Linked DNA regions of Drosophila melanogaster. The protein of the gene in region 2 purifies or fractionates together with the protein of the main gene of each other region. This does not show direct contact. Each region holds a gene or a part of one and is shown on either strand. Other genes may lie near its edges. The genes, in order: koko and Ykt6.

Evidence for each region.
Region 1: the proteins of Ykt6 (region 2) and koko purify together in Drosophila melanogaster (affinity purification with mass spectrometry, with the first as the bait; one large-scale study listed by BioGRID). This does not show direct contact.

Annotation. Positions count from the first base shown.
Region 1 is NT_033777.3:18,397,227-18,408,010, reverse strand, and holds koko (kokopelli), read right to left. Parts: upstream 4,986-10,784; 5' UTR 4,945-4,985; intron 4,789-4,944; exon of another isoform or gene 4,492-4,788; 5' UTR 4,472-4,491; coding exon 4,389-4,471; intron 4,323-4,388; coding exon 4,178-4,322; intron 4,118-4,177; coding exon 3,566-4,117; 3' UTR 3,285-3,565; downstream 1-3,284. Other genes in the region: CG31122 (uncharacterized protein), read left to right, coding at 1-129; CG7685 (uncharacterized protein), read right to left, coding at 2,204-2,522, 2,586-2,791, 2,852-2,968; Wdr37 (WD repeat domain 37), read left to right, coding at 5,544-5,697, 5,818-6,379, 6,437-7,184; Vti1b (vesicle transport through interaction with t-SNAREs 1b), read right to left, coding at 7,791-8,000, 8,061-8,219.
Region 2 is NC_004354.4:7,914,003-7,924,879, reverse strand, and holds Ykt6 (YKT6 v-SNARE), read right to left. Parts: upstream 4,472-10,877; 5' UTR 4,205-4,471; coding exon 4,080-4,204; intron 3,991-4,079; coding exon 3,516-3,990; 3' UTR 2,914-3,515; downstream 1-2,913. Other genes in the region: hdm (hold'em), read left to right, coding at 4,749-5,664, 5,716-5,872, 5,976-6,363; snz (snazarus), read right to left, coding at 7,557-7,925, 7,986-8,669, 8,735-8,872, 8,934-9,113, 9,183-9,920, 9,982-10,388, 10,445-10,617.

The DNA.
Region 1 (10,784 bases), on a different chromosome or scaffold from region 2:
CTCAACCAGCAGCAACAGCAAATGCAGCAGCAGCAGGGTGTCGGCATCAGTGAGCAGTCTTCGGCGGCGGTGGCCGCCACCAACAATGGGAGCAACAATCTATTGGAAGCCGGCGAGGAGGCAAAGTGACAGCTGCAACTGCATCCGCATCACCACAGGCGTCGCTTGCATGCGATGCGCAAGGGTACCGCCGCCCTCAAGCGTCAGCAGGTGGCGCAGCTGCGCCAGCACCACCAGCAGCTGCTGGCTGCCGCCCCGGAGCTCGCGCTGGCCTCCTCATCGCGCCTGGCTGCGGCCCTGATCTCGTCGGCGGTGGCTCTGAGCGCCTCGTCCGCGAGCCTTGTAAATAGTCATCACCACAGCCATATGCAACAACAGCAGACGCAGCAGCCGCCACAGGCGCGCCATCATCACCATCCGGCAACATCACACAGGCATCACCACCACCAACACCACTCACATCACCACTCGCACCACCATCATCATCATCATCAGTGTCGCTCGAAACGCAAACTGCAGAAATTGTATTATACGCTTTGCCGTTAGATCTGTAGCCTAACTATATCTATGTGTACTTGTACGAGAGAAAGTTTCTTAGAACCACCAGCAGCATCAGCACTTAGCTTAAGTGGAGTCACACCTACCACGTCCTATATATATTATATGTATGTCCAGTCCCTTCGTCCCTTCATTTTTTGTACATGTATTTATTTATTCCCCTTTTTGTTCGTATTTTGTATCTTTGATCATCGCATTTTTGTAATTCGTCCCAAACTGAAAGCAAAATCTCATCAGTGCAATAATATACATAATCCGAATATATATATATCTATATATTTATATATATGCGTATTTATATATATGCTGATTTTACAGACCTCTCTTATTTTATACAAACACTCCATGCTATTTATTTGTAATTGATGAAAAGATTTGTGATTTGCGCACATGATATAAAGTAAACATCGTAGAGCAAGCACTGTAATCGTAGCGTGTCTCAAGCAATTTATGTTTTAAGTACCCCAATGAATTTATACATCATCCGCACAGACGCATTAATCTAACCAGCCTAAAATCTAAATCACACACACCCACAAAGCCCTCTGATTAAGTATTACTTAGCGTACGTAAGCTAACTTTAAGTTGCAACTGGCAAAAAGCAAGCCACAACAACAAATGTACTTTACTTAGGTTGATCCCCAGTTTCCATCGCAAACTGGGGGCAAAGTATCAAATTTGTGAGACGAGAGCGTCGATAGCAATATAGCAATCAGCTCGTCCAGGCATAGACGACGTAGTTTTCTCTGATTGTGCTGGGCAAGTCAAAGAAGAAGTACTCAATGCAAATGCAAGTGAATAAAGTGAATTTTGCCAATTCAGATCCGAGAAGTAATTGTAAATGCGATGGCGCGCGTTCCTTAAACTAATTATGTATATCGATGTGGAGATCATTACCGCTTCCGCTTATCATCCAAAACAAGACAAGAAAGCCAGCCAAGAAAGCAAACCAAGAGAAAATCCAGTGAGACGTACTGTGCATATAAGGGAAAAATTAATTACACACAAAATTTCGTACCTTGTAGAATTTGCAGTTCAAAATTGCTTTAGAGTTTGTCGATGTACATTTTACGGATTAAACTGCACAAAACATTTTTAGGCAAGAAGAACCATATTAACTAAAATTACAGACGGTCGTAGATGTAAATTGAACATTATAAATGAAAACGCTGCGAATTCGAAACCAAAAATCGCGCAGAGAAAGTCGAGCAAAAAAAAGAAAACAAAACAAAAAAGGAATTCCCAATGTAAATTCTACTGATTTTTGTGAGTCTGGTAATAAAATGAATAAGCATATATGGATAAAATGGCAGCTTCTTTTTTTCACATGTCCACAAAGATCTAATCTTGCAGCTGCTCCTCTGGCACCAAATTAAACATAGTTTTAAACAAATTGTACACATTAAATCCATCAGATTCTTTGAATGTGAAAACTGGAACAGGCCACATTGTGTTTCTTGGAATTCGTTTCTTTTATTCAATCTACTTATTTTAAAATAAATTACAATTCTATTGTACTCGTACAAAAAATATCGCTTGTGATGCGCCGCCCGACATCTTCATCCTTGAGATTGGTGTCCTAGGTGCACAGGTGGAGGAGATGGAAGAGGAATGGGAGTGGGAACGGGGTCCCGTCGGCCTGCGACTACGCACAGTCGTTGGGACACTTGGTCGCCGTGCTCCACTCATCGCTGCCGTCGCAGCAGTCGCACACGTGGTCATTAATGCGGCTGCTGGCCACGTAGATATCCAGGCCCCGGCCCGTGATGTGACGCTTCTGGTAGCGACAGTAGAATCGCCCCTTGGCGCAGGCATTCGTGCTGGGCTCGTCGCTGCCGTCCTCCTCACAGTCGCAGTAGTTGTCGTTCAGGTGGTCGAACGGGATCTCTTTGGAGCCGTCCAGACACCGGAACTTGCCCTCGAAGTTGGGCTTGTAGGCGTCGTAGTCGAAGAGCCGTGTGCCCCTAAAGGATAAAGACGAGGATGAGGAATTTTCCCAAGCCAGCAACAATGCATCTACTACACACCTGACAATCTTGATGGGATCCTCGTGACCCGCAACAGGTGAGGTTTCCCCGCCTGCCGGAGCAACTGCATCGGCGCCTCCGCCATCGAAATCGTCCACGTCGCGCTGTTTGCTGCCCAGGGACTGCATCATCTGCTGGTGCTTGCGCTTGATCTGCTGCAGATTCCACGGAGCAGGCACTCCGGGCAGCTGGTTCAGCGAGAAGGCCTATCGTTATTGTTTACACATTAAACACCGTGCACAGGAAAATCCTTGCGAGACTCTCACCTGATACGCGATGAACGAAATTCCGACCAGGAAGATCAGCAGCAGGAACATCTTCGACTTCTGCTTGTAGAAGGGCTTGAAGTATATATTCTCTCGCTTCACCCACGTCTTACGCATATTGTCCTTGTTTTTTCGCTCTGGCCAAGTAATGTATAAAAAATATGTTTTGTTTACGAACTAGCATTGTTTTTGTACATGCCTGCGTTAGTCAACACTGCTGGGCTGGGGCTAAGGGTTGCCACCCATCCCGGAATTTAATCAAATACAGAGCGATTTATTTAAATTTGTTTGATAAAGTGTAATATTTTTTTGTAAAACTTTTAACAGCTTAAAAGTATAATGAATTTGATTGAAATAAAAGCGCCAAACACCTTTTTGCTTTTCCTCAGAATCTTAAAGCATTTCACAACTCCAAAGACCCATTAACAATATCATTTTTCACAGAACAATTGTTTATTGAATCAGTGTATAAATAAGTTGTAAACTTTAGATCTATCGTCTTCGCTGATAGGTAAATGTACTTTCGCCCGTCGATCACATAAGCATTTCATTACCGGTCAATTTATTTGTTTTGGCAAGGGCATGATGTAAATGCATTGGACATTTGAGCATATGTACGTCTAGTAGTATCTGAGATTGGTTTATGAGGTGGCGAGGGGAAAATAAATAAGTTCAGATGGCAGAAGGAATGGTTTTGGCAGTCTCTCTCAGCGATTAGGTGGCATTCAGGAAGCCCTCGTTCTTGTAGACCTCGATCACGTTCTCGATGATCTCCCACTGGTTCTCTCGGGTGAAGTCCTTGACCAAGGGCTTGTACCACATGGCGGATTCGTCGGACTCGTCGGTTAGCGGCACCTGGATGCCGTAGGTCTGGAGGGCCAGCGACAGGCACCCAATGGCCACATGGGTGGGCTTGTACTTGAGGATATTGGCGCTGTGGTGAAAGTCTTGCAGATACGAGGCGGCTGCCTTGGCAATGGGCACCGAGTTCCACACCTCAGTGCCCACCCAGTCTTGTAGGGTCTTCATGTAGTGGAGTAAGTACTTGTGGGCCAGATCTATGTTGAGATCGAAGCACAGGGTGCGCGTGATGAGCAGCTCAGCCTGGACAATGGCATCCCGCATCGACCAGTACTCATCGTTCAGGTCGACTGGATCATTGCCCCGGTTAAGGGTGCAGTATGCCACGTTGATGACATCGCGTATCTTGACACTTTCGTCTTCCTTAATTTTGCCAGCCAAGTACAGCGAGCCCGCGGCAATGAGCTGTGGATTCCAGAAAGTTTCTCATGAGATGGGGTCGTTTTGGGGGCATATATTACTCACGAACTCATCGTAGTCGCTGGCCTTGACCTCGCGGAAGAAGCGATGGAACACTATGGCCGCACAGGCCGCCGTCAGCGGTTTCATTTTCAACTTGGCAGCGCACTCAAAGATGTACATCGGCACCACGCCGGGTTTGTTCATTTTGCTGCGGCACAGATGGCACAGATATGTATATATTGGTGGTATCTTTAGATTGGATCATTCAACTTACCGATAGTCGATGGGCTTCATGGTCTGCGCCTTGTTCAACTCCACGTGCTGCTGCATCGACATGACATCCAAAACGTTTTTCATGCTGCTACTCCCAGGCCGAACTGAATGAAAGGATGAATGTGGGTGGATTTAAGCAATTTCGTTAACACTCGAGGAGCAAGATAAAAGCAATTGGACTGGTTGGGGAAATGGATGTGAACTGAGACCACCGAAAAGTCGAAAGGCGACAAACCGGTTTGATTGGGCTGCAGCGCTGTAATGGGAGATATGGTATCATATGCAGGGCGATCGGGAAAACTAACGGGCCCGAAGGTATGTCAGCTGTTCGATTGGAATCCAATACAACGGTGCACGGATTTGTTTGTCTTGTGGGAACTCCCAATGGTGTTTTCAAAAATAGTACCTACAACTACGGGCCAAACAGCTGTTCAAGTACACAGTGTTGATTAAGGATAATGCTTCCGTTTCAAAGGGTTATACAAGATAATCAACCCTAATAAATAATTACAGGAAAGCGCTGATCCATAGTTACATTTCTATTTGAATTTATTTACCTTCACGTGTCAGATTTGAAAGTCAGCAAAATTAACTAATTGTTTCTCAACACTAGTACTCAAACCAAAGTGCACTAAAAAAAAAACTTTGTTAATTGTACATTTTTATAGATGTGTTTTTGTTGAAAATTTTTCTAAACTAATTCATAACATATAATGAATTTTCAGTTAATTTTTACAGGATTTTTCGTTTTTATGATATAAATATATTTAATATGTAAACTGCAATTTCAAAATTATTTTATTTTAATTTGTTCAATTTGCTCTCAGTGTGCCACAGTCCGACTGTGCGATAATCGCACATCGATAACACTCGATACACACACCAGCTGTTCCGCCCGCTCCCCCCGCGCACAAAAACACCTGCAATAAGTATATTATCATTGCGAAAACCAAGTGCAACAGCAGTTCCCCAGTCAGCCAAAGAGGCAAATGCATCGCCAGCAGCGGAAGATGGATCAATAGAGCGCGAGTCTGCAACCCCTGAACACTAATTGGATTCCCCCGGGCGCTCTGCCCACCAGGAAACGGATATCGCCGACCAGCTCGGCTCAGAAAATCACTTGCGAGATACACAACAAAGAGGCGAAAAGAAAAGCATGAAGGCTAGCAAGACACGGGCTGTGCGCCTCACCAGTTTGACGGAGGACGTGGCCGCCGTACCGGAAGATGCACCATTCCGTGCACGCCTGCACGTCCTCTTCGCCCAGATCGAGCGGGAGTTCGAGCAGCTGTATCTGGAGAACCAGGCCCGTAAGTAGCTATATAATCCACAACTCCTTAAGGTCTCGTTCATAAACTTTAATATTTATTGCTTACATATGTCAAATTTTGTATAGTGCACGCATGATTAAAGCCTATTCTCTGTTATAGTGCAGGAGAAGCTAGACATAGCCACCACCACCAAGGAGTCATTGATTCCACCCGATGCCAGATCCGCAGCAGGAGGTTCAATGAGCACTCAGGCCTCATCCGCAGCTTTGGCCACGCCTGCAACCCAGACGGATGAGGTGGCGGGCAGCTTCCTGGCTGCAGCATCCAGTACACACAAGAGCTTGAAGGCCAAACTAAGCAGCGCTACCGGCGGCAGCAAAGCCAAGGCCAGCAACAAGATCAAGGCCCAAACCAGCCGCATTGTGTCCAGCTTTAAGGCGCCCACAGTGGTCAGCACGGTGGTCCGAGAATTCGGCGGCCACAAGGATGGCATCTGGCAGGTTGCCGCCAAGGCGGGACAACCCATCATTGGCACCGCCTCCGCCGATCATACGGCCTGCATCTGGGGCGTGGAGAGCGCCAGGTGCCTTTTGCAGTACCAAGGGCACGCCGGCTCCGTAAACTCCATCAAGTTCCATCAGCAGCGAGATCTTGTGCTCACCGGCAGCGGGGATGGTACTGCCCACATCTGGCAGGCGGCCGTCAACTGGGAAGTGCCCAAGTGAGTAACTTTGCAATATATTTTATAGTAGTTCAATAATCGTTGCATGATTTTCAGGAAGGGCCATTCTTCAGAGGAGGAACTGGACGACAGTGATGAGCAGGTGGAAGATCGCGATCGTGTGGACACCTTACGCACTCCGCTCTGCGAGTTCACAGGCCCCGGCGGTCATCTTTCAGTCGTGGTGGCCGCCGATTGGCTCTCTTCGATGGATCAAATCATCACGGGCAGCTGGGATCGGACTGCCATCCTGTGGGACGTGGAGACTGGCCTGCCACTGCAGCCGCTCACTGGGCACGACCACGAGCTCACCCACGTGTCGGCACATCCCACCCAGCGCCTGGTGGTCACCGCTTCCAGGGACACTACGTTCCGTCTATGGGACTTCCGAGAGGCAATCCCAGCGGTCTCCGTCTTCCAAGGGCACACGGAAACGGTTACGTCCAGTGTGTTCGCACGCGACGACAAGGTGGTGTCCGGATCAGATGATCGTACAATCAAGGTCTGGGAGCTGCGCAACATGCGATCCGCCTTGGCCACCATTCGAACGGATTCCTCGGTCAATCGTTTGGCGGTCTCCACTGGTGGAATTATCGCCATACCGCATGACAATCGACAGATCCGACTGTTCGATTTGAACGGGCAGAGAGTCGCCCGATTGCCACGGACCAGTCGGCAGGGCCACCGACGGATGGTGTCGTCTGTAGCGTGGGCGGAGGAGCCGCTGCTGGACTGCGATCTCTTCTCCTGCGGCTTCGATCGCCGCGTTTTCGGCTGGTCCATCGTTCTTCCGAAGGACAATTGAAGGCAACTGAAGCGGAGAGCTGCTGCACCAAAGGAATGAGGAGGCGCAGCTCTGCGAAATCCCAAACATCTCTCGAACAAAGAAGCATCCCCAAAGCGATGCCCACATACTTACATATATGTAACCGTTTATCATAGATCAAGTATTATGCAGACATTGTTCAGGATGTTCTACTATCTCGTTGTCGCCCACTGAATGTAATTAACGTTGCTTTTTGCCAAATAGTCGTGGCATAGCGTGCTGCACGAACTACATATTATCATTGTTATAGCATACGTATGTATATGCGTTGGGACTGGGCTAAACTCTTCGGAGTGCAGAGCTTCCGATGTCCAGACCCGATTTTATCTGTGTTTTACTACCATAATACATATTATAGACGTCTAAGGCATTAACGCTTTAGCCAACATGAATAAACATAATCAACCACCCGATTCATCGCTGGGTATATCCTAAAACTGACCTTTTTGAATTGGAAGTGCATTTTAGTGGAGTATATACATTTATAAGCTTATTAACTAGGACAAAGAATTCGTAACGATTAATAGGTATATATAGTCCATCGCCTGTTTGGTGGTTACGACTTTGGAATAGAATGGCATTGGCTCACAGGTGAGCGAACTTCAGCACCAGCAAGCCGACGAGTATGCCCACCTCCAGAATGATAATCAGGATTAGGATGATCTTGTTGTAGAGCACCTCCCTGCTCAACTTCCGAATGATGACCCTCGATTTGGACAGATCCTGATCGGCGTCCTCCAGGCGGCGCGTGGTGCGTAGCAGCGACTCCCTCTGCTCGCCCAGTTCGCCGAGTACCTGTTGATGCGTAAGCGAGCATTAGTTAGCCCTGTTAATGGCTACTATCTGGGTAATTACCTCCGCCCCCATGTTCTCCGTTTCGATGGCAATCTGGTTGGATCGCTGGATACTGTCCGTCGTCCGCTGTAGCACGTCGTAGGTGCTGGCCGCGAGCTGCGCCTGCCTGCGCTCCTGGTCGCTGCCGCTGGGCAGCTGGCTATAGCCGGCGTAGGACATAATTTGGTAACAGCTTTTAATAAATTAAATGCGATGCAGTGGGAATATCAAAACAAAACAAAGGCAGAGTGTGGCCGTGGTGAGCGGTGCAGTGAAAACGCTATTTGGTAAGGTACTAACGCGTTGTGCGTGGAGCCACCTGTTAACACTTTATGCACTTTACAGCACTTAAAACAGTTGAAATTTAAAATGAAACTGTTACCAAATTAGCTTAATATTATTTTATATTCTAAATTCTAATTAAAAGTTTAAATTGTAAGAAGTGTTAGTTCAATTGGTTTTTTTTTGAGATTGGCTTCCTCACTATCAACAAGCACATCTAGTTACTGCAAAAATATCACATATTAATGGTGATTAATTGGGTGATCCTAAGAGTGATTAGGTTTTTGGAAACTGACCATTTTTTTGGTAGACACATGTAGCACTCGAGGATTTTGACTTTAGTACGGGTATTTGTCGATTTCTGATTTGCGATAACGGTCACCGATCATACATAGTTGGCATGCCCGCGCCGAGAGAGCCGCCTGAATTCACAGGGTGTGTGTGCTGAGTAACAGAGAGTGCGAGGCATTTCGAGGCGATCGCGAGATTTTCGAACCGAAGTCGCGGCAGCGAGTGCCAAATTTAAACGCAGTCGATCGCTGGCGGTGAGCAGACGTGTGCTGCGCTCCATTCAGATTCAGATTCGAATAAAGATACTCTCGCTCGGCAACAAACAAGTTCTAAATTTATCGCTCGCACTCGCGGGGAATCGAATCTGGTGTGTCTTTGACATAAAAAGCGTTTTCGGAGCTGTGAAGGTAAGCGAAAAACTCGAAAAAACTCGAAGCAACTGGAAAAACCCGGCGGGTTCGAGGTGTAAAAGCTGTGCCACGGGTTATCCACCCGTATATATCCCATATCCCCTGTAAACTAGCCATCCAAAGCACGTGCTTTGGCAGCAGGGAGTATGTGCAATTAAGCCCAATTTGAATGCACTTTGGCACGTGATGCTGGCTGCTGACAGCTACTGGTCGGAAAAGTGAGCTTACTGGGGGCTGCGGGGCACACCTGTCATGGGACCCATTGTGCAAACACCTGCCAGAAGTCGCAGCTAAAGTCAGAGCGGCAGATACGCGTAGCGCTATCTCTTTCGTAAGCCCCGAGTATCTCTGAGATACTCAGGTACGCACCTACTACGTTCGCAGTGTGTGTGTGTGTTAGTCGAACCCTTGTCATGTGAATATAATACTCTCCAGAGTATCTGTGAGTCGCGCTCTCTTTGCAAAGTCGCGAGTTTTCGAGTTTTATGCAATCATCATAATCATATGGGGGGGTTCTATCATGTGATCTTTTTCTCGGGGTCTCGGTTTCCAGAAGCCTTGCGTCCCCACAAAGATCTCCAGCTGGAACGGAAACCCTAAAAGCTGGGCTCGAGTAGTTGCGAATAGCGCACAATAAATACCAGTCGATTATGATTTATGGATCGCTCTATAAATTGTCCAATGGCACTTCCAATCGATCAATCAGTATTGCGCTGATTAGCCACAGTCGCAGACCCAGTTTATGAATGGGGAAAATCTGATCGATTCTAGAAATCTAGCAATTTCACATCTGAAGTATAGTATTTTGCCGAGTTGCACACAAGTGCTCCTGGTCGATCGTCCAGTTAATTAGCTATATAAAGCCAAAGCCCGGCCACTCGAGTCGCCGATCTCCAGTTACGTAACTCTATATGTATGGCTTATCGGGGAAGTGGTCGGCAAACACTGCAAATAATGCTGACTTTGATGGCTTATTTTTCTGTATTCAATAGTATTGCGTAAAGAGGCTATTTATAAGGAGTTGATACTAGCCGATTTATTAGCTGGCTCCTGTTTTACAGCTCTATATAATTTTGAATTCCCCCCATTAGTTCGATAATATATGAGCATAATCATCTTTGTGACGCAATGAAACGGTTTCTTCGCACAGAAGCAGTTGAAGAAAATGAATTGAACTGACAATTGGCGTTAATAAATGATGGTGCGGACTGTTTTTGTTCCTCGATCGCCTCCACTGTGGATTCACATTGAATTGGTTCGGTTATTCGTGCCAGCGAGTTCTTAATTACCCGCAGTGGAAAAAAAATGGTTTTGTCATAAAACCGAGCGCAAAGGCACCATAAAAACTAGAAGTTATATTCGTATTCGAATTAACAACAAATAGCGAACGGGAGAGCCAAAGCGCAGAGCGATAAAGAGAGAAGCAAACAAAACAGAGCGCAAATTCAACGAAACTTCGAAGTGTAGCGATATTAGCCTACTCACACATGGGCGTGCGCCCGCTCCCAACAGCAAAAAAGGGGGGTTGTCAATGTCAACCGCTCGTTCGCTCTCTCGGCGCCGCTCCCTCGCCCACTCAGCACCTCCTTCTCCACTCACCATCGAATAAATGTGATTAAGGCTCACCCACAACTCGCGTGTGAAAGCCAAGGAGCAGCTACAACAACTGAAACAACAACATTGCATCTGAAGTACAGTGCAGCTTGCTTATGTCGCTCCGCTCAGTGATAAAAGCTGAAGATTATTATTGCTCTCACAGCTA
Region 2 (10,877 bases):
CGGTTTCTTTTTAGCAAATAAATAAAAATCGGGGAAAACAAACGGAAATATTTATATATGTAGGGTATATCGTCAACACAAGGATCTCTTTTTAAAGCAAACGAACGGAAGACTCGAATTCTTCTATATAGACCTATAATTCATAGAGAAGCTCGCTTTTATTTCATTTCATATTGGTAGATTTCTCATACATTTTGAAAATCATTGGAGACGGGATTCGAAAACTACAACTAAAAAATGTTTTTTTTTTTATCTACTCAAGGGGTATACACAAAGTTACCAGTGAATTAACGTATTTATTTTTATAATTGCATACTTCGTAATTATGATTTTGATGCAACCGAATTGTGATGATGTGATAGACTTATATAAACAAACGAAAATACAAAAATACTAATTAATAACCAATTTAAATGAAGTAATCGCAGTGCCCCCAAAAAGGCCAGGCCAAAAACACTGAAACTGAAGCAGAGGCAGCTGAAACTGAAGCTGAATCTGAATCGAAATCAGTATCTGAATCAGAAGAGGAATATGAATATATGTTATGTATTTGTATTATTGTCGTTGTCGTTGTCGCTCATAGACAATGTCTGATGGCTAAAATATAATGTATTATGGATGACTTGAGGCATACATTCTTTTTTTGAAGAAATAAAACTATAGAACGCGATATTTGTATTGTATTTATCTATAAGTTGTTGTGTACACACTGCGAAAAACAAACAAACCAAACAACAAACTAAAAAAAAAAAAGCAAAAAAACAACATTGAAACACACAAAATCAAATGAAAACAAAAAGGAAAAAACGAGAAAAAAAAGAGCAAAAGAAGTTGAAACTGATAAAATTTAAGAGTAACTGAAACCGAAAGCCCCCAAAAACTGAGGGAGGAAAGCGGAGAATTTGTTGTTCCCTTCGCACTTTTGAGGCAAGTCCTTCGTTTAAGTCCTTATCGATCGCTCTATCTCAGTCTTCATCCCTATCTCTCTCAGCCCCCCGTCCCGCCCCCATATACGATATATTTCTCGCTCGCAGTCTCTTCTTAAAACGATAGATTTAAAACGATAGAAATTCGCATATACATATATTTTTGAAAGTATAGAATTGCAACTTTTGAAAAAATGCAACCAAAAATAAAGACGAAAGACTAAAGCCAAAAACAAAATGAATTCAATTGTTTGAAGCAAGAACAAGAGAATAACGGAGAAAGTGAAACGAAGTGCCGTTATTTCGATAGTTTGTATAGTTGTTTAATACTTATTTTCTGTTTCGTTTACTTAGAGAACTAAAAATCGTTTACACACACACACAGATACGCGTTTATGATGTAGTTTACGTTTTTGCGTTTGTTTTACTTTGTAATTTGTTTTGTCTTAAGCTTTATCATTGGTTAACCAAAATATGTATGTATATACATGTATCAATGTCGATAAAGTCGATAAAGTGAATGCATTTACCGTTACAGTGCGATACGCACAAGTGCCAAAAATGCAGCAAAAACACCCGCACACACCCACGCACTCGGACACACACAAACAAACACACACACTCACACGACAAACAATTAAACAAAGACACATCTGTACACGCCAACACCCACCCACACAGACACACAAGTTTCTTATAGATGATACAAACACAAGCGAACACATTACATGTACATGTGTACATGCACGCAAGACCTGCAAAACAAGCATACTTTTAAGCGCCAAAGTTAGGAGCGGCTTTTGAGGGTTCTGAAAACAAAATATGGAAACCATTAAACACTAGAATCGTGGGGCAAATAACATTTAGCTGCTGCATGTAAGCTAAAGTTGCCACCGGCAAACGGAACTAACTTTAAAATAATAAAAATAATGCAAGTTGAAACCAAAACCCATTGTGATAACAGCTGCGTAAACGAAACACGTTAGAACCTTACTTGTACGTATTTCGATTGGAATTCGATGAAACGGGGATCCCCCACTAAGTCCTAAATAATATAAATTCAATCAAAAGCAAGCAAGCCAACAATTTATCCAAACTAGTTTTTAAATGAATACAAAACTCATCCAGCCGCACATACACACGTATTTTTTACTGATTTGAAAAGAAGGGAGAACTTTTCTTGATTTTCATTTGTTGTGTTGACCAATGCTAATTTTTAGCGAAAAAATTGAGAAGAAAAAATACACATACCAGGAAACACAAATGCAAATTCTTAGCCATTTCGAAGGAGCGTGCATTTAGAACATTGCATCGACTAATATTTACACTTGCATATATTGAAAGCATTTGAATAAATTCTAAATATTACTATAGATCACTAACACAAAAAAAAAATGCATACAATGTTGATGCAAATCAATAAAAAACGAGAAGCCAAGCAAACGCGTTTGAATCAATGTTTGCAGCTTAAGCTAAGTTAGCACACACAATATTATATTAATTATAACGAAACGATATAGGTATGCAGTATAATGCATATATTTATAATGCACCGCCTCCCCTTTCTCCCCGCGCAAACACACAAGAAAATTGCGATGGAGAGGGGGCGAAAACTAAATTGTAATCGATTTACCTATCTTATACTAGGCTATACAAACCGAACCCATTAAACATAACCAAAATCCAAAAGGTTAAACACGAAAACGTAAGGAAAACGCATAAATATGAAAAATGTAACGGAAATCTTTACAAGAAGCGAAATAGGTGTCTTCTATATAATAAATAAACGCCAACAGAAAATCACTTTTAAATTGATTTTGCTTTTTTGGGAGGAATGGAATTTGCACTTAAGATAAAGTGGTACGTATTACATAAATAAAAATAAGTTCATGTGCTATGTACAGAGCTCGTACAAATAGTTTGTACATTTTGCCAAAATTGACAAAGATAAGGTTTGTATATGTGAGCAATGAAAACGAGCTTGGTTCACATTTCCCATAATACTTCTTTATTGAAACGCCCACACATTCCGACCGCCAGTTGCCCGGATCGGAAGTGCGACTGCATGTGTATACATAGGTGCAGCCTTCCGATCCGATTGGTATACATAGATCCGCCGTGGAGGCGATAAGAAGGCCCACAACATCAATAGCTAGCAAAGGGCCAATTTTGGACCGCCGTGCCAACACATAAGTGAAGAGAAGATTATGTTAAGCACATGGGTTTAGATCGTAATCTGTATTGGTAGTAATTAACATTTAGATATCCAAAGCGTAGACATATACAGACAGGTAGACATTGGGTTAGCGGACTATCGTAACTGGCAACTGGCCATCCTATTCATACAGTATATAATATAATATATATATATAGTATATAAAATTAACTAATTCATTTATAAAAAGCAATCATCAAAGCCCAAGTCGCACCGCTCCCTTGGAGTTTGTTTGGTTGTAGTTTGTTGGTGTTATCGTGTTATCCATTATCCTTTGTGTTGTCTTTGATTTGCATTTTCTGGTGTTTCCTGTTGTGGTTGTTGCTTGAGAGGATTAGCGTGTGGTGGGGGGTGATGAGAGGTGCAGCTGTCGTCTAGGTGAAGCTGCAGCAGGAGTTAGTCTTTTTCGCCGTCTTGTAGAACGCCTTGCTCTGCAGCGACAATTTCTCCGACTTGCTGACCATGTCGTCCAGCTTCTCGCCCCGCTCCAGCACCGCCTCGATGGTATTCTTCAGTATGATCTTCGTTTCGTCCAGGTCGTTTTGCATTTTCGTCAGCGGATCTGCTTCGACGGGATTTTGATAGCGTGCTAGAAACGCTGGCAGCAAGTCAAATGAGATAGTGGCCTCCGTGCCATTGGGCCACTGATCGGCCGACACCTTGGCCGTAAAGTCATCCAGAATCTTTGTGATAAGCGTGTGCGCCACGCGATGCGGATACTCATGATCGGCGATCAGTACACCGGCCAGATTGTCCGCCCGCACATAGACATGACACATGTAGGCATCCTGTTTCACCGATTGCCGCAGGGCCGGCTGTGTGCGCTCCACAATCGTCTTCGAAGCGAAACTGCAAGAGGAGGAGTTGTTTAGGGGGGTGTTCGTCATTGATGACTCTTTGAGCCTGCGCCGTTCTTTGGCATCCACATGCATACTCACGTCATGAACTCGTTGACGGTGCCACGTTGGAAAAAGGAGAAGGACTGCAGGTCCGAGGCGGTCTTCAGGAGACGCGCCTCGCTGGCGCCCTTGTGAAAGATGCTCAACGCGAATAGTTTGACCATTTTGAGTGGCTGTGGGCTGCCAAGACTGGGTCTGCGGGTCGCGGGTTGCTCGACTGTTGCTCCTCCAATTAAATGCTTCTGGGGCACTGAGCTGAACGGTTGTCCTGGCTAATCCTACTATGCTCCGGCGGATGGGTTTCACTTTCAGCGCACTGGCATTCGTGGAAAAGTGCGACAAGTGAGTTTGTTTAACGCAGTAAATCTGTGCCGTTCCCCTCTGTGTGTGCGTGTGTGTGTGCGCGGGTGCACATATGCGTAGTGTGTGTCAGCTTATTAGGGATGGTACGTCTGGTATTCGGATGCCATCCGATTATTATCGATTCCAATGGTTACAATTAATAAGCGCAACTTTCTGTAAATGTTTTAATTGTGGTTTTTATCAAACTAAGTTGTTAGCAATACTTTCTGTTACTAACTGAATCTACGGCCATTTGTGGTGTACCATCACTACAAACATCGATAACTACTAATCGGCGGTAACGGCAATGTAACGGTTTTCTTAAGCACTGCAATCTGACTGGTCGCGATTTCTTAAATAATTTCAATGGCAAGGCGTATTAAGTTCCAGCGGTTGGCAGAGATGCGTCCCACAATGACCCGTTTCTCCACCGTTGCCCTGATTGTCTCCAAATCCTCGCCGAACATCTTCTATGACAAGATGAGTGGCACCGAACGAGGGGTTCTCAGCTTGACCATCCGAGATTCCCCCAATCACCTGACCAATTGCAAGTGCTGGGGCCAGCGGGACTGTGTGGATGAGTACGCGGCCATGCTGCAGATCGGCCATGTGGTAGACATTGTGGGCGCTAAAGTGATGTCCATACCGTTTGCTGCTCCGGGAGAACAGCGTTATCAGCCCCAAGCGACGGTCTCCTGCGCCCTGGTGGTCAACGAGGGATCCGGCTATGTGGTGCGCCACGACAATGACGACTTTGGCCAAATAACAATTCTCCAGCAGTTACTCCATCAGCCCATAAGGCCACTTGGTGCGGTCCTTAAGCTGGCGGATGTGCGTTCCGGCTTGGGATTTCCCGATAAGATAATCACCACCAATGTGAATCTACTGGTAGTAGTGGCTGCAGTGCGTCCAGTGCGTCAGATAAAGCGAAAGCTGCAGGGGCCACTAAGTGAGGTCCAGGAGCTGCTACAGTGCTTGGAAGTAATCGTGATCGATGCCAGCTATCCGGAAGGTATGCTGCTCTCCGTTTGGCAACCCGACTGGATACAACGTGCCCAGCAATGGCAGCCACGTCGCACTGTCCTTCATTTGATCGACGTGCGTGTTTCCTACTCGAACTTTCATCGTTCTCTCGTCCTCTCCCATTCCAATTGCACACTTATTTGCGAAAATCCTCAGGCGGCTGGAGATGATTGCCGTCTCTTGCTAGCTTTCGCCGCCACTGTGCCTCTAACAACTTTTAGTGGCTGTGACCAGGCAGAGCTGGACAACATGCCTGCAGGTGAGTAAAGGATAATTAATGCAGTATTATTATTTACTATAACTCTTTCAGTTGCCAGCATTCAGGCGCAGATGACGGTAAGACAGATATATTCACGCGCCGAGGGCGAACTGCAGGATCCGTCCATACATCAGTTTACTGCAGTGCTGTATGGGATGGTCACCAAGTTCGACTTGGATGGATTGACCTCCCACGTCAACAGGAAGTGGTGGGTGTTGTACATCCCCATCCCTTCCTAACCGCCGAAACGCTTCCCACTATCCGTTACATAGTTTACAAGACATATTCTTAAAAGCCCTTTTATTTTACAGCATTGCCTGTCAACAACATATACCACGGAACCTGCAAGATTGCGCCTCGGACGCCTGCCAGCAGTATTTTTCATTGGACAATGATGAACCACGATCCATTAGCTACTTCAATATCAACATTCATTTGTCCGACCAGACCGGCACTCTCGTCGAAGCCCGGTTAGCTGGACATCCGGCAGAACGTATCCTGGGACTTCGGGCTGAAGACTTCGAGCGACTGGCGGAGCGCGAGAAAAGCGAGCTAAAGTGGCGCTTTCTGCTGAAATACTTCGAGGTAAGATTGATGATCAAAAAGCCGGTGGGAGTGCGCAATCATCTCGTCATTGTGGTCGTCGACATGCAAGCCATTCCCCTGGAAAAGCTTGTCGCAAATATGGTCGTTTTCTAAGTGTATGTGGGGTGGTCCCATCAAAATACTGGTGAACCATCTACATAAATAGCGATCTTTATTTCGCATTTTCACATAAAAGTGTACAACTGCAATACATAAATAGATTGAAAGCGCCTCGAAACTCTTAATGTGGGTCCTAAGTGGGATACGTTTGGCTCATTGGGGATGAATCATCTAAGTGTCATTTTGCCTAGTGTTACAGAAGGTGCCGGTGTCTTTGGGTCGTGGTGGTGGTGGGTGGGTGTCTACGGGGCGTTTCAGGTCCACAAAACTGATTTTGGGTCAATTCTAAATGTTGTAATTTCGAGTTGTGTGTTTTAACATGGTATCAAAATGCATTTGGATAACCACAAATGCTTAAGGATTAATGCTTCTTTAAAGTCCTGACTTGCGACTGTTTTATTGTGTTATCAAACGTTCTGTTTTTTAAGACAGCCTCAATCAACGCTTAGTCTTTAAGATTATTTGATACCATTACCAATTTTGGTCAATTAGGAAATTTCAAATACAATTTTTAATTGATGGTTATCGATGTGCAACAATTGAATCATTTTAATACAAATTCGAAAAAGAATACAATGTGTGTCAATACGGAAGTTGCTTTATGGCCATGGAACGCACTGTTCTGGACGCCCATTAGCTTGCCTCAAACTAATCTCACCTGTTGTGTTTCTATAATATTTTTGGGGGGAGGATGGATCTACAGCTGGCGCGGCATGGGAATCACAAGCACCGACTCAACGCCAGCTGCAGACGCAACTTTGGGCTCAATATCTGCTACTAAACTATAATTAAAATCAATCCAAACTGAGTGTCACAATTTACTATACGAGTATATAAACAACGATTTGGTACAACGCTTAATACTGACCTATGTACAGACATATACACATAACAAACAAATCTGGCTACAGGAAGTGATGGACGAACGAATCAACAAGAACTGAATTCATATGGATTGTAAGTCTGCATTTGTACAGGGAATGATACTGGTACTACTGAGTTGTGTTGTGTTCTACATAACTATTCTTTGTAATCCCTTTCCTCGGCTAAATCAACAATATCCACCGGTTAGAAAGAGGGAGAGCATTAAACATTGAACATAAAATCAAACAAAACATAACATAAATAAAAAAAAGGGTTTAGGTTAAAGTAAAATCTAAAACGAAGTGGTTCTTCTTAAGTTCACTTCACTTCGAACTGCCCGCTTGCGAATGGTGGTGCTGCTGCTGCTGGTGGTGGTGGGATCCGTGGTGGTAATGCGATTGGTGGTGCGAGGCGGCACCACCACCGGTGGCGCCACTCGCGCCAGCTGAGGATCCGCTGGCCGACGAGGATCCCTGATGGTTTTGGTGACCCCCCGTGGATGCACTGTGACCCCCACCACTATGATTAAGCGAGGGCAGCGAAGCTGATGCCGTGGCAGCCACCAGTGCCGCAGCGGCGGATGCAGCTGCCGCTCCAGCAGTAGCCGTATTTAACTTGGTTCCATTGGAGTTGCTGACGCGCAATTGTCGGATTTCAGGAAAGAACTCAATCATAAGTATCTCCAGCAGCTCCTGAAGATTAGAGATACCAATTGTATATTTGGCTATATGACCACTGAAACCACTACTCACGTAGAATAGCTGCTTGTTGTAGGCGGGATTCTGCAGGGCATCGAAAACCTTAAGGACACCCCGTTTGGCAGCCTGTGCACCGACCAGGTTGCACAGTACCTCCGGTATGTGATCGGTGAGCAGGGCCTTGGCCGCCGTGGTGGTCATTTCGCGCATATCCTCCGATCGCGTCGGATAGGCGGAGGCAAGAACTCCGCCTGGCCAAAATGACTTGAGGATGGCCGAAAAGTAGTTGTGCAGCATAGACTCCTCAAAGAGATAGGCCACCGATTCGCGGATCTGTCGATTGATCGTACGGCCGTATGTGATCTGCACAAACGAGATGAGACTCTTACGCAACCACTTGAAAACTCCGCCCATGTCAAAGATTTCGCCCATTAGAGCGTACATCGGTTCTGCTATCGAATCCTTGCTATCCAGATCCGCTGCTAGCATTTTAGCCTCACCGCCGGACTCGCCGTCTAAATAGGTAGATATATCCTCGTCATCGCGCTGCAGACCCCAAAACGGATCGGTTGCCTTGCTGGCCTCGTGAGCTTTGCCAGCATCGCTGCGGAATAGCGTAGATAGCGAGAATTTGGACTTCTTTGGCGAGGGCAGCGATTGTTTCAGGTGGTCGGAACTTGGGCTAAGAAACGTGTAGATGGCCTCGCTGCCATTCAAATGATCGTCCTCCAGGATAAACTAAGTGGCCAAAAAGTATGGAATCACAAACTTATCTATGGTGTAAAAGAAAAAATTAAACTTACATTCAAGAACTTCTGAATCTGTGACTTGGCCTTTTCCTGACCATGACGATCTGTTTTCAGAAAAAAGAACTTAAAGTTCGTAGGCAGGTCGATGGCCTTCAGGTTAGAGCTCACGTGTCTCAGCTTCCGTTGTAGTTCCTTCACAAATAACCAAAATGTTAGTGAGAGTGATCTATAGAATCTTAAAGGGAATACACACATGGACTTGATTAAGGGAGCGCATTACTACCCAACCACTGGAAATGCCCGACGGTCGCTTACGTAGATTGGCATGGCCGCTGTCACCGTTTTTGGATGAAGTCGGTTGTACTGGGGCATTAATATCCTCGTCCACATGAACCAAGATCATAAACTGCAAGGACTCTTTCTCATCGGAGACCTAAAAGATGCAAAAAAAAAAAAAAAATTGAAGATGGCTGATAAAATCACTCAGGGATGGAGCACTGACCTCTACACTTTGGATGGTAGCCTTCCACTTGCCCAGATGCTCTGTCCAGGCGTCCGTGCGACGCAAATGCGCCTCTGTCTGTCGCTTCTCGCTCTTCAGCCACTCCATCTCCTTTTCGAGAATGGTCAGCACCTTGGACTCCGGCTTCACGGAATATTTGAGGGCGTCCAGCGCCTGATTCTTTTTATCAATCCGTTCCTGTATTTGTTCCAATTTTCGTCGTGCATAGGATGTGTGGGCGGCCACATCGATGGCACCACCAGCTCCGCCATTTAGTCCATCCGCCGCGCCCGGTTGCTCATCCGCCAGCGGCTCCTGTACATCGCCAATGGTGTGACACATTAGCAGCGTGGGATCTGCAATCTCATTGGAGTCCAATGCCTCCTTCAACTGACGATATTGATCGCTGAGCACAAATGGCGGATAGTACTTTTCCTCCAGCGTGCGTAGTACATTGCGCTGGATGTCATAGAAGATGTCAGGCTCGGCATCTCCCAGCAGGAACGTCTCGATCAGTTTGCGTTCGTGCTTGTCAATCTGGATCTCTGACTTGGGCACTCTGATGTAGGTGTAAAAGATCTCCGTGCCCAGCTGATGGCTGGCCGACTTGTGCGCGTGCTTGATCTCCTCCACGGCCAGGTAGAAACCAATCAGAGCGCTAGCCTTCAGCGGCTCCAGGAACAGGGTGAAGTAGCGCCGGCCAACCGCAGTGTTTAGGATCTCGACCAGTGTTAGGTCCTGCAAATAATAATTGAGTTTATCAGTGTTGTGGATATGGGGAATGCTAAAGTTTAATTACAATATCACTCGAGTAATTGCCATTCCAGCCGAACTTGGCCAGATTCTTCTCGCACTCGCCCTTGGCCATTGTGAGTTGGCGTACGTAGCGCTTCAGTCGGACGGCGGCTGTGAGCTCCGACTTGGAGAGCGAGTGGTCCTCGTGATCCGGATCGAGGCCTTTGGCACGCTGTAGATTCTGCATGGTAGTAGCATGCATCAGATCGTTTACTATGCTCTTGCGGATGAGCGAGAGCTCCTCGAGGTTGCCCGAGTTGTTGATGATTTTGAGGAAATCCTCGAAGCTGGCTGCATACTCGTAGCTTCTCTTGCTCATGGCCGCCGCTGCCAAGCGAGTTTCAATGTTTTGGACCACCTTCTGGTTGATGTAGTCCGGTGCTGTCAGCATTTTGATCATCGGAAAGAAAACTGCGGACAGGATACTAAGTAAAACGTGTCGTTTATTAAGCGGCAATGGTTCTTACTCTTGTAGGAGAGAATCTCGCTGAGCAAGACCTTCAATGGGGGCAGGGAATAACCGCGTGGCAGCAGCAGGATCACCATAATCTCGCAAAGCTTGCGCAGGAACTCCATCTCCTTCTCCTCGTCGGCGAGGTACGAGTTTGTACTAAAAACTGGCGGCGTGTTGGTTTCAGCTCTAAAAAGAGGAATACATATATTTATTATAGATCTGAATCGTTGAACAATGGAATGCAAAGTAATCGCAGCTGTTGCCTTTCTGCTTATTGATTACCAATTTAATGATTTGGGATTGATGGCCATTCTCTGAGGCATATAAATTACATTTAATTCTGTTCACTGCATTTTTTCACGCAAAGATAAACAACAACTTATTGTGGCCCAAAGCATTAGAGAGTAAAGGTATTAAACAAAGAGTCGAATTGCACATTGTATCTT